Linked DNA regions of Drosophila melanogaster. The protein of the gene in region 3 interacts with the protein of the main gene of each other region in a pairwise test. Each region holds a gene or a part of one and is shown on either strand. Other genes may lie near its edges. The genes, in order: dati, RhoBTB and Snp.

Region 1 (4,781 bases), on a different chromosome or scaffold from region 3:
GTTTTTTTTGTTGGAAGAATACAGTGACTGTCTATATGCACGGCCTCGATTACGGTTACGATTACGGCTGAGACTTGGAAGTCGCTCCCAGCAAACAACTACAGATAACCTGGCGGCCCGCGAGTCATAGAAAAACTAATTTGGCCGCCGCCTCGGACAAGTATAAATATGACTGTTGCTGGGGGTTCAGACACGTCTCGTTTAGAAATAGAACTTGCACGCAAAGTGGAGTCGGCCTGAAGTCGAGTCATCGCTGTCGCCATCGTCGCTGGCGCAAAGTAAGCCAAACGTCTTCGTTTCAGGACTCAGCTCTAAGGCCTTCGGCAAAATATCTTCGTCCCGTCTTCGGGTTTACCAAGAAACAGCATCTTTGCTCAGCGGATAATAATGCTCTCTTTGGAATGGCTCTTAGTTGCCAAATCGTGCCACCTCGGAATAACGGTCAAGCCGGAAAACGGAAACTTTGTTCTTGTTACACGTATGTATATATATGCACGCATATGTTTATATATGTGTGTATATAAGGTATGATCGCCATTGTGACTGTAGGGATTCGATATTAACATGGAAGTTAGGATCAATAATTACCTTGAAAACAAACATATTCTCAGGCGATTACAGTACGATGACGGTTACGTCGCAGGTGATGGGCGGCATACCAATCAGGTAATGGTCCTATATTAGAAAATCCTATATCCTATTGACTTTTTACGTGCGACGGCTTTGCAGTTGAATGTCCGTGGGCTTAATATATACTTGAATTAGGTTTTTGATGTATTATTAAAAGTCATTTAAACTTAAGGCCGGAATAAGGCACACGTTACGGTGTCGCGATATATTGGTTATAAAATTCATTTATCGCCTATTTATCCCAAAACATGGAGTTAGATTGATGCAGTTTCTATTTGAATTTGTTTACATATAAATTTAAAAATTTTGTAAACGTTTGAATCACAATTTGTTACCCGATACGATCTACTATTTTGATGCCCAGATTTGTATTGTTCGGAAATACCTACATATGTACGCATTGTGACGTCTCATAATTTAATATACATATAAAAATATAATATGATATATTCCAATTTTAAAATAATTCGAGGTTCACATTTGTAACTTAAACGAATATTTAGTTTAAAATATCGTCCATTATATTACCGAAGAATGATATTTTGATTATTTATAGTAGCAATATCTTTAATTTTATATACTATTTTACGTACTGTTTACTATAATAACCACTATCTCTTCACGCTTAATCATGTATCTATACTATTATTTTTTGAGTATTGCTCTTATCATTAAAAAATAATAAGCGACTTGGTGTATAGTTACGTATGGTTATGCTAGGGCTAGCTGTAGGGTATGTGATAGTTCAAACTGTCTGTTCCGGTGTCAGTGTGTCTTCGGTAATCATTCAGGGAGTGTATTTTGTAGCTGTAGAAAATCTAAATGTTTTATTATATACTGTTTAAATTAGTATTAAGAGACTATATATGCAATTTAAATGACTATATGGTTATGTACACATTTGTGTAAATCATATAAATCATATTTTCGATTAGTAGCCTAGTTTGGACTTAAATCTTCACGTAATCATATTTTCGATTAGTAGCCTAGTTTGGACTTAAATCTTCACGTAATCGTTACTAAAACATACAGTTTTATATTGTATTAAATTTATAATTCTTTTGCGCATTCATTAATGTCGTTTTGTACTTTTGATTTCAATTTTGTTGTAAATTATATTTTTCATTTGTCTAAAAAGTAATTTTTAAATGGGTTTTCTCGTTGGTCTGTTTTTATGTTAGGTTATATTGGTTTAGATGTTATTTTTCGGATTGGTGATGAAGTTAATGTTGATGTGGTTCTTCCTTTTTGGTAATAGGTGTAGAAAACTTAGTTAATTAATGCATCTGTTCTATTGCGTTTAAAACTGAAAGATGGCTGGGTTGAGTTAGGTTTGTCGATTTGATCGTTTAGTTACGGATTCTTCTTTATTGTTAAAAACGATTTTTGGTCTATTGTGTTTGTTAAAATTATGATGATCTGAAATTAAATTAAAAGAAATATTGTTTTCATATTTTCATCTGAATTCAGTAAAACACAAATGAAATCGTCCAAGTAAGCATTGCCAAGCAATTCATTTGTGCTTTGTTTTTTTTTTTTTATCAAACAACTCTATTATTTGGTTAGTTTTTAGTTTTTAGCACAGTCCACAATCATTTTATATCTGGTTTAAGCACATTTGATAAAATAAAAATGATCCGCGAGGTCAGGACGATCCGCAGTCGGTTGTTCTACTCCATGGAATATTGCGTTTCTGAATGCCGCATCCAAAATAATTGAGAATAAAAATCATCGCCTCGGCATACGTTGCTTCCCAAGCTGGAGACTGGGATGGAGACAGCCGGGTGCCGAATTGGGGAAATAGCTGGCAGCAGCGGTGTGCTTATTATAAGATAAAAATTGTGTGTTAAACAAAAAGTGACAGCAGCGGGAGCGACAACAACAGCGAAAGCGGCGGATGTGGATTCAGATCCTTGCACTCGGACAGGGAACCTGTGCCAGCGCCGGCGCTGTTGGTAACTGCAGTTGCAGTGGCAGTTGTTTCAGCATTTGCAGTTGCAGCTCTACACTCAAAAAAAAATTGAATAAAAAAATTTCAATAAAGCACCAATTCCTGAATTACAATTCTTAAGCTCGGAGAGCTTATTGATATTCTTATTGCTCCTCAATTACACCTTGTAGGGATGACCTGATGAGGCCTCTAGTCTCTGTCTAGCCCTGCCCGTTCCCTTCTCCGTCTAAGGCGCGGGATATGGCTTTCTGGTCTTTTTTTCAAGTGTATTAAGCTGCATGCTATTGTTGCCCAGCGCCCATTCACTCCACGTGAGTCTGTGTGCGTACAGTGTACAACATATATGTATGTCTGGCCCATGCCGCTTTCATATGCGTTTTCGTTGCATCATCCCCTACGCCGCCCTCTCCAACTGATAACTCTCAAACAAGCAGGCGGAGGGGGGCTGTTGCACTCGTCGTTGGTCGTCGGGTCCCGTCAGCGCTGCACTTCCGCAGTAACATCCCTTATGGCAGCGTTGCAGCGTGATGACCACTGCAACCACCCAGCAAACCGACCTCCTCCCTGCTGTCTTGCTGCAACCACAGCACAGTCCGTTCTGGTCGGTGGAATGCAAATTTGTGCATGATTTAATGTCTACTTCAAGGCCTCTCTGGCACCTCCTGGCCCTGTTACTACCCCTGCCCAGCTCCTGTTTCTGTCCACGTTCAGCCATCTCCCTTCCGCCGCCGGACAGCCAGCCAACTGTTTCTGTCTAGCTCGAGTTTTGCGCTGCACTTGTGCATGTATGTGCGATATGGCTGCATTTCTGGTCTTCGTCACGGTGCGGCAGTATGCATTTTAATGCTTATGTGAAGTTCTTATGTACAAACACGTACACAATCAAGTGGGCGGCTCGCAAAGCACATAGGCATCCGGAAAACACTATTGAACCCTACCTTTTCAAAATGAATGTGCAGCCGTGTATGCTGCAGCATATACATATGTACATATTTAGGTAACGTTAGCCGCCACCTCTGCTGCTCAATCGATTTTGGTCTGTGCTTTGGTCTGTGGGAATCGACCTCTATCGATTTTCTTTAATATTATATTTATTTATGTACACACATACATGCATGCATTCGCAACAATTCGTGGCGTGGAAAAAAGCGGATACCTAGGGTATATGTATGTACATAAATATCTTCTTGCAAATTTGAATATTGTTTTAAAAGTATACACATGCTCAGTAAAAAAAAATTACAGGAAACCCACTATTTTTTTGTTGAAAATTATGTGCTATTCCCATAGATATATTTTACAGCAGTCGTACATGATTGATAAATACCTTATAGTATAGTACATAGTATCTTTTGGTATTTGGCTGCTATCTTGGATAGTGATCGAAGAGGACTTTGACGCCTTTTGGTGAGATAGTAGACAAGGCTACCATGAAGTCGCATTCACATCATCTCATAAAAGAGATCATAAACCCGAAATTCTATCAAGTCAGTCTAAATACAACTAGTCAATCCGCATACATATCTACATAATCTAAGGTTCAATCGGTCGACAGCTACGCATGAGCTTTAGGCAAAACCTAGGGTCCCGCGGTCTTAAAAATGGGCTTACAGTGTACAGCTAAATACAAGGACAGACCGAGCATACCAAATGTTCAAACTCACTTGACTCAATTGGTTAAGCTGAGAACTTGTGCTCAGAAAACGTGTTGTTAGGTTGGCTCAATTACGCACGTCAAACCCGGTCACGCTTACCTCAAACTGTCCTGATAGTACGGAAACACTTTTAGCTTTCCTTTTAGCATCCTAACTCTCAAGCAAATATAAAAATGATGGCTAGTTTTTCAAGATGTCCAGCAGTGCAATGCAAAAGAGATAAGCCGACCTTCGGACCACTAATACTTTTCTTTCTTGGCATAGTCTAACTTAGCAGTACTAAGTTATCTTAATAAAAGTAGCGGTCTCGAGCCAAAAGTTTTTAGGGTATAATATAATGCAGGCCTATGTATCTTTACTTTAGAAACTGTATACTGAGTGTACCAAATGCACTTTAGCATATGTATGTGTTGCATGTTGAGTGTGTGTTTTGTGTGCACATGCATGGTAAACTCATAATTGGTGCGGGTTCGGTATTTGTGGGCGAACGGTCATAAGGCAGCACTTCCACTCCATGACTGTGGCGAGCCTGCACGAATAATACT
Region 2 (4,781 bases), on a different chromosome or scaffold from region 3:
GTGAAAGCCACTCAAAACCGGCTGAAACCTGCTAGCTATGCATACCGAACAAAGGTTCCCTTCTCGCCGAAATACGAGAGATAGTTCTCGTCGCGATACATGTAGCGCAGGTCGTTCTTGCAGCCAACTAGAATGACGGGAACATCCGGACAAAAGCGGCGAATTTCCGGATACCACATCATCTTGCAGTTGCGCAGGGAAATCGGACTGGCAATGGAAAAGCACAGCAGCACCACATCGGATCTGTAGGTCAAGAAGGCATCTTATTGATTCGTATGGCGAAAATGCTGCTACATGAGCTCTACACACCTGCCGTATGCGAAGCGCCGATCCTTGTCGTGGTCACCAAATGTGTCCCATAGGCGAAGTGAGACATTCACTCCATCGACCACCTCCCATGATCGCTCGAGTACCTTTAATGTATATGGATTCGGTTAAATGCAATAACTATGACTCTTGAGAGAATGGTAACCCACATCCTTATATATGCGATACTGGTCAATGGCCCACACGGTCGGCACGTGCGTAGAGAGGAGCTGAGATAGCGAGACGTGTTTGTTGCAGGCCCTCGCGCAGATCAGTCGCGTCTTGCCCACGGCCGTGTCCCCCACCAGGACGCACTTCACTAGCTCTTGATGCGGCTGCTCGTTGTCCATTTTGGGCATGCACAAATAGCAGAACCAGCTTATGGAATCTGAAATGAAAATAGTATTGGATTTTTGTGTGATTTAATAAAATGTGGTCTCTCCTGAGGAAAACATACATAAATGAAAATATTGAAAATAAAATAAACTGCTGACACCCCTTCTAATATAAATAAGTGAACTACGTAGAATAGCTGCCTTAATGTTTTTCAGTTCTGATAAGCAGATGCTAAATTCTCGACTAACAATCGACCTGCTAATTACTAAGTTACACAAAGTGTCGTCTGCATTAACGTTTTGTGTGAAGGCAAAATGGTTTCATCACGTGATTAATTTGATTTTAATCTAGATACCTAAGTGCTTCCCAAAATAGAAATACATAGTTTGAAATAATCTACGCACTGGGAAAATTCACTTCTACGTTCAGTTATACGTAAAGCCAGAATAACTGATCTACGCCAATAGGCAATTTTGTTTGTTTACTCGCTGCGCACTGTGAAAATAACTATAGTGAAATCAGATACCAGCTTCGTATCATTTACTTAGAAATCTATTGGATCCCGCAAACGGAGGCTATAAAACCAGCCAATTCATTGACCCCCACTTGATCCACTTGTCGCGGAGGAAGTTGGAGTAAGTACCTCGGATACGGAGCGATAAGCTCGCTCTCTCTCTTTGAACCTCTAATTGAACTTAATTGGGCTGCACTAAAAATATATCTGCCTTCAATCCTCCGGTCGCAATGAGCACACTTCTTCCTGCGTGGCCCACGCTTCATGGCAATCCATTGTCCGATCTTCTCGACGAGCTGCAGTCTGTCTATTTTGGGACGCGCTTTAAACCCAAAACAATAACCATGCAATTGAAAGTACTTCAAGTGGTCGCCAGAAGCGATCGTTGTTCTCCACAGGAAAGTCTTTTGTTCGTGCGAAGACTTTAAGTTACTGTCAATATTGTGGATCGTTGACCTCTGGAATACATGGCAATCGGTTCCACTTTTGCTTTGATTTTCTATAATTTATGTGTTCAATCTATTTAGAGCCATTTGAATTGACTTTATGAAGGTTAAAGAGGGAAGAATATTCTTCAAATATTGAAAAATTAATGTCTGATATAACTACTATAAAATACCGTTTTTATTTTTATTATTTCCTTGTAGAAATATTTTTAAAATATATTATTTAAGTGCCCAGTCTTAAGCAAAGTGAAGCAAAAACAAAGAAACAAAGAAAGAAGACGTTGTGAAGGTAAACAACTGTTAGTTTTTGAAGATATCAGGTATTTTGAAAATGGAAAGATCGTATTTTTTAGTTTTTAAAAGGTATGTTCTTAGTTTTCATTGTAAAATATTTGCACCAACCATAATCTTGGGAAATAAAAACAAAGTTTATTTAGGGACTGGTTCCAATTTATTTCTCATGCGAGGTGTGAACCTGTGGTTTAATTAGACATTTTGATTCGCGAGAATTCGCAGAACACGCCAGCATATTAGCATTATTAACAAACTCTGCGCTGTTTTGCCATGTCTGGGAAGTCTCCTTTCTTCAATTTTGCCAGCTTATTGATTTTCTCGTGCCATTGCAAAACGGCCACAAATACCGTTACCAAACCACACACACATTCAGACTCGCACACAAGGAGGCACAGAAGGGACTTTTAGGAGGGGATCTTGAAGTTCGGACTCGACATTCCGGCAAACTTGACCCATTTAGGGGAGAAAAATCGTTGAACACTTGCACTTTTTCTCGAGGAAAACGCATGTTGGTGGGTAAACAATTAAAACCTGATTAGAACCTAATTCTTCGACTGCTGGCCGAAGGGGAGAGCACAGAATTCCCGAACTCATAAATCTCCGCGGACGTAGCACTGCAGCACTCACCTCTGAAAACGCCTGATCCCACGGATTGCACGAATTGCACGGATTTGCCTCAATGTTCTTACTTTTGCGTATTGCACTTATCAACACGCACACCAAAGCACGGCATTTTACAACAATTTGCATTTATTTCTGCACCCACACACCGATGGCGACGCAGTTTGTGGTTCGCAAACACGCGAAATCTTTACGGCTGGCACAAGTTTAACATCGCTGCGAGCTGGTTGCCGACGGATGGCTGCGGATGAGCCAGTGCTCGCTGACCAGGTGCACTATAAATGAAATTAAAAAATAATAAATTGCAGTTACAGCCCGCAATTCTTCTACGCGCTTTGACGGCAACCGGCCAGTGTTGGAAAACGGCGGCGGTTGGGCGCGGAGCACTGCCAGATTGACGGAGAACGGGAATTCACGGAATATTTATTTTTATAATGACTGTTATCAGGGTTGCCCAATATTTATTGTATGGTCGTTGGAAAAATTTCAAGCATTTGAAATACATTTTGAAATCGCCATCTATCCTAGGTAAGGTGAATATGCAGCTTACTTTAGTCCAAAGTTACATTAGAACTATTAAAAATCATCACTTTAAACTTATTAAGTCTTTCGTATTTGAAAATATGGCCTACCACTTTGTAAAATTTCTCCAATTGGGAATTTCAAATCTGGAACCACTCACAAAATAAACGATCTGGCAACATATTAAACTAGTTCTGCGTGCGCGGTGAGTTGGCAGCTCTGCGAACAGATGATTGTTTGCTATTTTAGTTGTTGCGAAACTAGTTAGAATTTATTTTTCGGTCCAAAAAGCGATTAAAATTGATTGAACGTGTAACCGACCGGCTTGGAAATCTACTCCTCCCACTCTAAGATTTCTTGTGCGCGCTACGTAAAGCCGGAGTAGCGTCGTCAAGAGTATTTCACAAACTCAATGTATCTTACGTGCAGAAAATCGATTTTTGCCTTAACAGCGGTTTTTGGTCGACGGTTGGCAGCAATTAAACAAATTTCCGCTAACGGGCACCACTAAATCGCATTTATTTCGCACAGGTCAAGTGCGTTGAGGGCCAGCATTTCAGTAACACATCGAACGATTGGCACGCTTATAAAACCCAAGATGACAATAGCCGAAAGCTCGCAAAAGTCCGCAACTAGGAAGCCAGACAGCATGGAGCCCATATTGAGGTAAGTGCACGTTACGCATCTTAGAGGTCGTCGAAAGGCAATGGTTCGTCGTTTATAGGCTGAACAACATTGAAAAGTCGCTGCAGGACACACGCGACTACCGCGGATTGCAACTAGAAAATGGACTAAAGGTCCTGCTCATCAGCGATCCCAACACAGATGTCTCGGCGGCAGCGCTGTCCGTGCAAGTGGGGTAAATAAGATCAAATCTTCACTCAATGTTTGTTTTTAATGAGTATACCCATGGCAGCCACATGTCTGATCCCACGAACCTGCCTGGATTGGCCCACTTTTGCGAGCACATGCTGTTCCTCGGCACCGAGAAGTATCCGCATGAGAATGGCTACACCACATACCTTTCGCAGAGCGGCGGAAGCAGCAACGCCGCCACCTATCCCCTGATGACCAAGTACCACTTTCACGTGGCGCCGGACAAGTTAGATGGAGCCTTAGATCGCTTCGCGCAGTTCTTCATAGCCCCCTTGTTCACGCCCAGTGCAACTGAGCGGGAAATCAATGCGGTATGTGAAAGCATTCATTAAAATTTCTGACAGAAATAGGACGCTGTCATTGCAGGTAAACTCTGAGCACGAGAAAAACCTGCCCAGCGATCTGTGGCGCATCAAGCAGGTGAACCGCCACCTGGCAAAGCCTGACCATGCCTACAGCAAGTTCGGCAGCGGCAACAAGACCACCCTATCCGAAATACCCAAGTCCAAGAACATTGATGTGCGGGATGAGCTGCTAAAGTTTCACAAGCAGTGGTACTCCGCCAACATAATGTGCCTGGCTGTCATTGGAAAAGGTTTGTTTTAGTATAGCCGTTTCTGCCAGCAAGTAATCAATCTCTGACAGAATCGCTGGACGAACTGGAGGGCATGGTATTGGAGAAGTTCTCCGAAATAGAGAACAAAAACGTCAAGGTTCCAGGTTGGCCACGCCACCCCTACGCCGAGGAGCGCTATGGACAAAAGGTGAAAATAGTGCCTATCAAAGACATCCGATCGCTGACGATAAGCTTTACCACAGACGATTTGACGCAGTTCTACAAGTCAGGCGTAAGTTTAAGGTACCAC
Region 3 (4,781 bases):
TCTGGTCAGTGGTCGTTACTTTTGCACTCTTGTTGTTATTTTTGCGGTGCTTGTCCTGCCAGCACCGCATCCTGGCATCCTTGCATACTTACATCCTTTTCGCCTTGCAGAGTGCCACTGCTCATTATTGTCGGCAATGTCCAGGCATCGGAAATTGGAAAAGTTTCCTGCCTTCGTGACAATCCACACTTTCGCTCACACGTTCTATGAATATTCAATGCAGTCATAGATTATATTCAATTGATATAATGACGTAAATAATAGTTGACAGGGTCAAGTACAGGATGAATTTATTTTTAAGAGATTTATAAATAAACATCAAACGAAATGCTCGAGAGTTGCTAAATATTTACTACAATTTACAATGTTTTGCTAAACAGCAAAGCTCTCTCTCTCCCTCTCTTTGCCATTTCTGCCCCTCTTTTAACCGTTTTCTCTTTGGGACATCAGCAGGGGTGCTTTTGAAACGGTTTGGATTTATCTGAGCGGTTGAAAGTGGGGAAAAGCGATGTTTTCCATGTAACAAACAATACGGTTCAAATGAATATAACTACAACCGTGAGATTTAACTACTATCGGCAATATCCCGACGCAACCAATCGACCAAAGCATCACGGGCGCATTCCGCATCAGCATCCAGGCAGAACAACTTGCAGATGTCCTGCAGCCAGTTGCCAATGATGTAGCGCTTAATGCACGGCATTACACCCAACTCCCGAAACACTTTAAGGCAATAAATTTGCAGGCGGGGATTATCCGTCGTCGAAGTCATGAGACGACCCACATAACACGGCAGTTGGGTGAACTCCCTGCTGCGCCACAATGCCCGCTTGCTATGGAGCCCATTGAGCAGGGCCAAAGCCGTATATTCCCAGTTCTCCACCTTCTGGCGAGGCAGCAACATTCGCGGATTCTCATCGGGCTGGGCAAAGACGTCGTAAAGCAGCTTTACACCATCCACGGCATCGAAACGCCGCTGACCCTCAGCACAGCAGAGTAGCAGCGCAAATGCCTTGGTGTTCATGTCCCAGAAGTTGGACAAGCGGTTTAGGATCCTCGAGTGCAGCAGCTCGAAGAGGCCCAGCTCGATGCCCCGATCGGGTGCCACTTCCAGCATGTCACACAGGTGATGCCACAAATGCAACGGGAATTGCGGACGGCATGGATCCTGTCTGAAGATCTCGGCTAAGGCGGAAAAGTTTTCAGGATCCTCCAGGAATATACCCAGAACTAGGAAAAAATATAACACCGTTAAATCCAATGAAGTGCATGCAGAGCTCACCTTTTGGCTTGCATGTCAAATTTCGCAATATCTCTGAAGCCAATTCATCCTTAATAGGCTCTTGGTTCTTAATGATTTTATAAAACTCCACCCTTAAGCACTTGCGGTTGGCTATATTTTCGGCTCCATCCAAATTGCGGGATAGTATATCTTTAAGAAATAAAAGCTTATTCTAAGAATTCACACAACCTTCAACTTACTATAAATCCTTAGATACATCTCCACCTCCCGGTGCTCCTCCTTGTGATGCTTCAATCTCATACGCATAAAGGCATTCTTCAACCTATTGGTAGGATAGAAACTGGATGATATCAAAAAAAAAAAACTCCTCAATGCAGACAACCCACTTTCTAACAAGGTCCATTTCAATGATAGCTCTTTGGGCATTCAGTGGATTTAGAACGAATTCCGACAACGATACGACTGCCTTCCAATGGGTCAGCCTAACATCACTATCCAGTTCTTTGAGCAATTTGGGCAGTGCAAACCAGCCGTAGGCCAGTTCAGCACGATCCGCCAGGTGCGTCGAGGTCGAATTGCAGCAGAGCGGCATACACTTGCAAATATTCCGTTTCTCCATATGATGCGTCCACTCTGTAATCCATTTTTTTTATGATTATCCTTCGCTGATTATATATCGCAACTAAATTACCCGTAGTCTGCAAGCTGTTTATGGAGGTCGGCTTCATCACATCCTTGATTTCGTGTTGCAGAAAGTGATTGCGATATCTCGCTAGCTGCTCCCACATTTTGGTTTAATGGTTTGTTGTTATTATAATGAGAAAATACAATACGTGTCAAATGCCAGAACTTTTTTCAAAAATCAACTTCTATTCTACGTTTCAACTTAACATTTCTGTTAGGAAAACTATGTTTCTGTACTGTAAAGCGCCATTGCGGCTGAGAACGTAACCCAATTGGTTGGAAGCTCAACTGCGTGTTGAATATTATGAAAAGGTTCGAAGCTCGGATGCAACAGCTGTTCGTCGCCTGAAATCGATATATCGCAATTTGGTTGATATATTTCGCCGATTCAATGCCGCTGCATTTGTGAACGGACGCCGAGCGAGTTACTACCGAATATTAGATGCGGACTGCAAGCGCAGCTATACGAGAATATACCGACAGGCACGCAAAATATGCAAATACCAGGAGTGCATCTCTATTGACCGGTCAAATACTCGGCTTGGCGGATAGTGCATTTGCAGTTGCAATTTCATCAATCGCCAAATGCACTTGACTGAAAGGCTGTACAAAAAAACAAAGAGAAAAAACCCAGTGTGCGTGCGGGAATATGTAAAAAAAAAACGAGTTAAATAAATAGCTAAATAACAAGCAGAAAGCAGAACGTAAGTATCGAAAAAGCGCAGTGTTTTTGTTGTGCCGGCTGAAATAAATTCGATTGTGTGCGCGCGCGTTTGTTTGTGTGTCGGCATGTGCGTGTGAGTGAGCAGACAACAAAAGGAATTCGGCTCGCTCAACTTCTTCCTAGTTTACCGTTACTTGCACTGCCAAAATCGCAAAAAATAAGGGGAATAGGGAGATAAATAAATAAGCCGACGAATTTCGAATAGCATAAATAGTAGCTCCTGCCAAAAAAAAAAAGAAGAAAAATCAGAGAAACGTCAGTCAAATCGAAAAACAGAAATGGCCTTGATAAAACTAGCAAGGTGAGTTTTTATTCTGTTTTCTCGCTAATATTACCTATAAAGTATGTGTATAGGAATTTTCCCGTTGAAAGTTGTAGTCCACCTTCTCTTTCTTTGCTTTTCCACTTAACAAACCGCAATTAAGTTGGCCAGGGGCGGAGTTTCCACCGAAAGGGGGTTTTTCCAGCACTTGCCCACGTAAATTGATTTTCTGTGGCCCCGTCATCCTGTCGTGCTGACCTGAACTGACCCCATTTTTCATTTCCATTTTCCGACAAAAGAACAAAGTCCGCAGCCTGAAAAATCCGGCCCTGGCCTTTTTTTTTTATTGTTGCCTCTTGGTCAACAGCAAAGCGCTTGAGGCCGTGTAATAACTTTCGGGCAAATATTTATTTCCCAGCAACGAGTTGTTGATATTGAAGTTGGTCAATGCACTTTGGCGCCCCTGAAACGCACTTCAAATATCGCTAAGTGTAATCAGGGACTCGGAAAAACGATGATAACAATAATTAAGCATATTGCAGAATCGTAGATATACATACAATTATATTTATGTATTTCAATTGTATGATAATATGATATACTTAATACCAGTACATTTACATTTACAAAAATAAACATCCTTGTGCTTAGATCCAAATTAATTTCGCATGAAATATTTTCGAAATCTTCATAATACCAGTTTCGCAACCAGATTAAACTACTTTTTAGAACACACAACGAACAATCGAATCTAATTTGAACAAGATCAATTCATAAACTTAAGAACACAGCGAACGTAGGATTATGATAATCTGAATTTCAAATGAACTGCTAATAATAGGAAAACTTACGTGAGGTCTGTGCAATTAATTCTGTTATTGTCTAACAACTAACAATGTATTTGTTTACCTTCTCGATTTCGTTTGTTGACTTTTCCAGCATGTACAACAACTAAACAAACTAGCTATCTGGCTATCGAATTTCCAACGCCATTATATCCACTATCCCCTTCACTATAGACTCCGATATTTATTTATTTGCTGTTTACGTTCGCAAAAAAAAAACCAAACAGTCGCAAATCACACATGATTAAATTAATCAAGCGGCGCACAGGCGTTAAGTTTGCGATCAGTTGATTGATGGCCCGCTGACTGATTGGCCGCGTGCTCAGCAATCAGAATTGGGACTATCCCATACGCCACATACACTTTGCCCGGAGGATCCGAGCTGCACTTGCTGCACTGTGAGTGCCCCACTTCTAATGGTCCGCACATAGTTGGAGCAGTGATTCACCTGACCCATTCCCTGGAAGGGGTTCGGTGGTCCAAAAATAACTCCCAGCCTTTCAGCAATTGAGATCAGAGTTGCTGGGACACGGACTTTGGTAATTGAGTGTAATTGGAAGTGAACACGAGACCACTCACTCCAATCCCCAGATCTCGGTGGCCAGATGACGGATGACAGGCCCAGTGGAAGCTGCAAAAGTGCAGCAGATTGCATCCACAAAGAATGTGTCTGTATCGCGGCCCGATGGCCCCAATATGTCCTCGCCTGACCTGCTAGTTCAATTTGCACATGAAACATACAGTATGTATTCTTCGAGTACCACCACCTCATATATGCATGTTTATATATATATATATATATATATATATATATATATTCATATTTATATGGCTGTGCAGTGGAAACTTTTGTGGACTACAATGAGAATGCAATAAAACTAAAACGGGAGGCTGCATTGATAAAGCGAGTAATCTATATGACGACATGGTCTCGAGTTACTCTGTAAATAGCACCCTGCGCACATGGAGCGTATTTACATACCACATATACATATATGTACGTACATACTATGTATCTGCGTA

The links.
Region 1: the proteins of Snp (region 3) and dati interact in a two-hybrid assay, tested with the Drosophila melanogaster proteins (one large-scale study listed by BioGRID).
Region 2: the proteins of Snp (region 3) and RhoBTB interact in a two-hybrid assay, tested with the Drosophila melanogaster proteins (one large-scale study listed by BioGRID).

The regions. Positions count from the first base shown.
Region 1 is NC_004353.4:393,274-398,054, forward strand, and holds the start of dati (datilografo), read right to left. Parts: upstream 2,333-4,781; 5' UTR 589-2,332; intron 138-588; exon of another isoform or gene 1-137.
Region 2 is NT_037436.4:20,374,344-20,379,124, reverse strand, and holds the start of RhoBTB (Rho-related BTB domain containing), read right to left. Parts: upstream 2,884-4,781; 5' UTR 2,524-2,883; intron 1,384-2,523; exon of another isoform or gene 1,286-1,383; intron 695-1,285; 5' UTR 666-694; coding exon 477-665; intron 414-476; coding exon 310-413; intron 244-309; coding exon 46-243; intron 1-45. Other genes in the region: Ide (insulin degrading metalloproteinase), read left to right, coding at 3,638-3,705, 3,764-3,898, 3,956-4,226, 4,282-4,510, 4,561-4,763.
Region 3 is NT_033778.4:22,058,630-22,063,410, forward strand, and holds the start of Snp (snipper), read left to right. Parts: upstream 1-2,320; 5' UTR 2,321-2,929; coding exon 2,930-2,952; intron 2,953-4,781. Other genes in the region: CG13501 (uncharacterized protein), read right to left, coding at 566-1,230, 1,283-1,432, 1,483-1,565, 1,630-1,876, 1,935-2,031. UniProt on the Drosophila melanogaster protein: A broad-specificity exonuclease, capable of degrading both structure-specific DNA and RNA targets without sequence specificity in vitro. Requires two to five unpaired nucleotides in the 3' region for efficient binding and nuclease activity.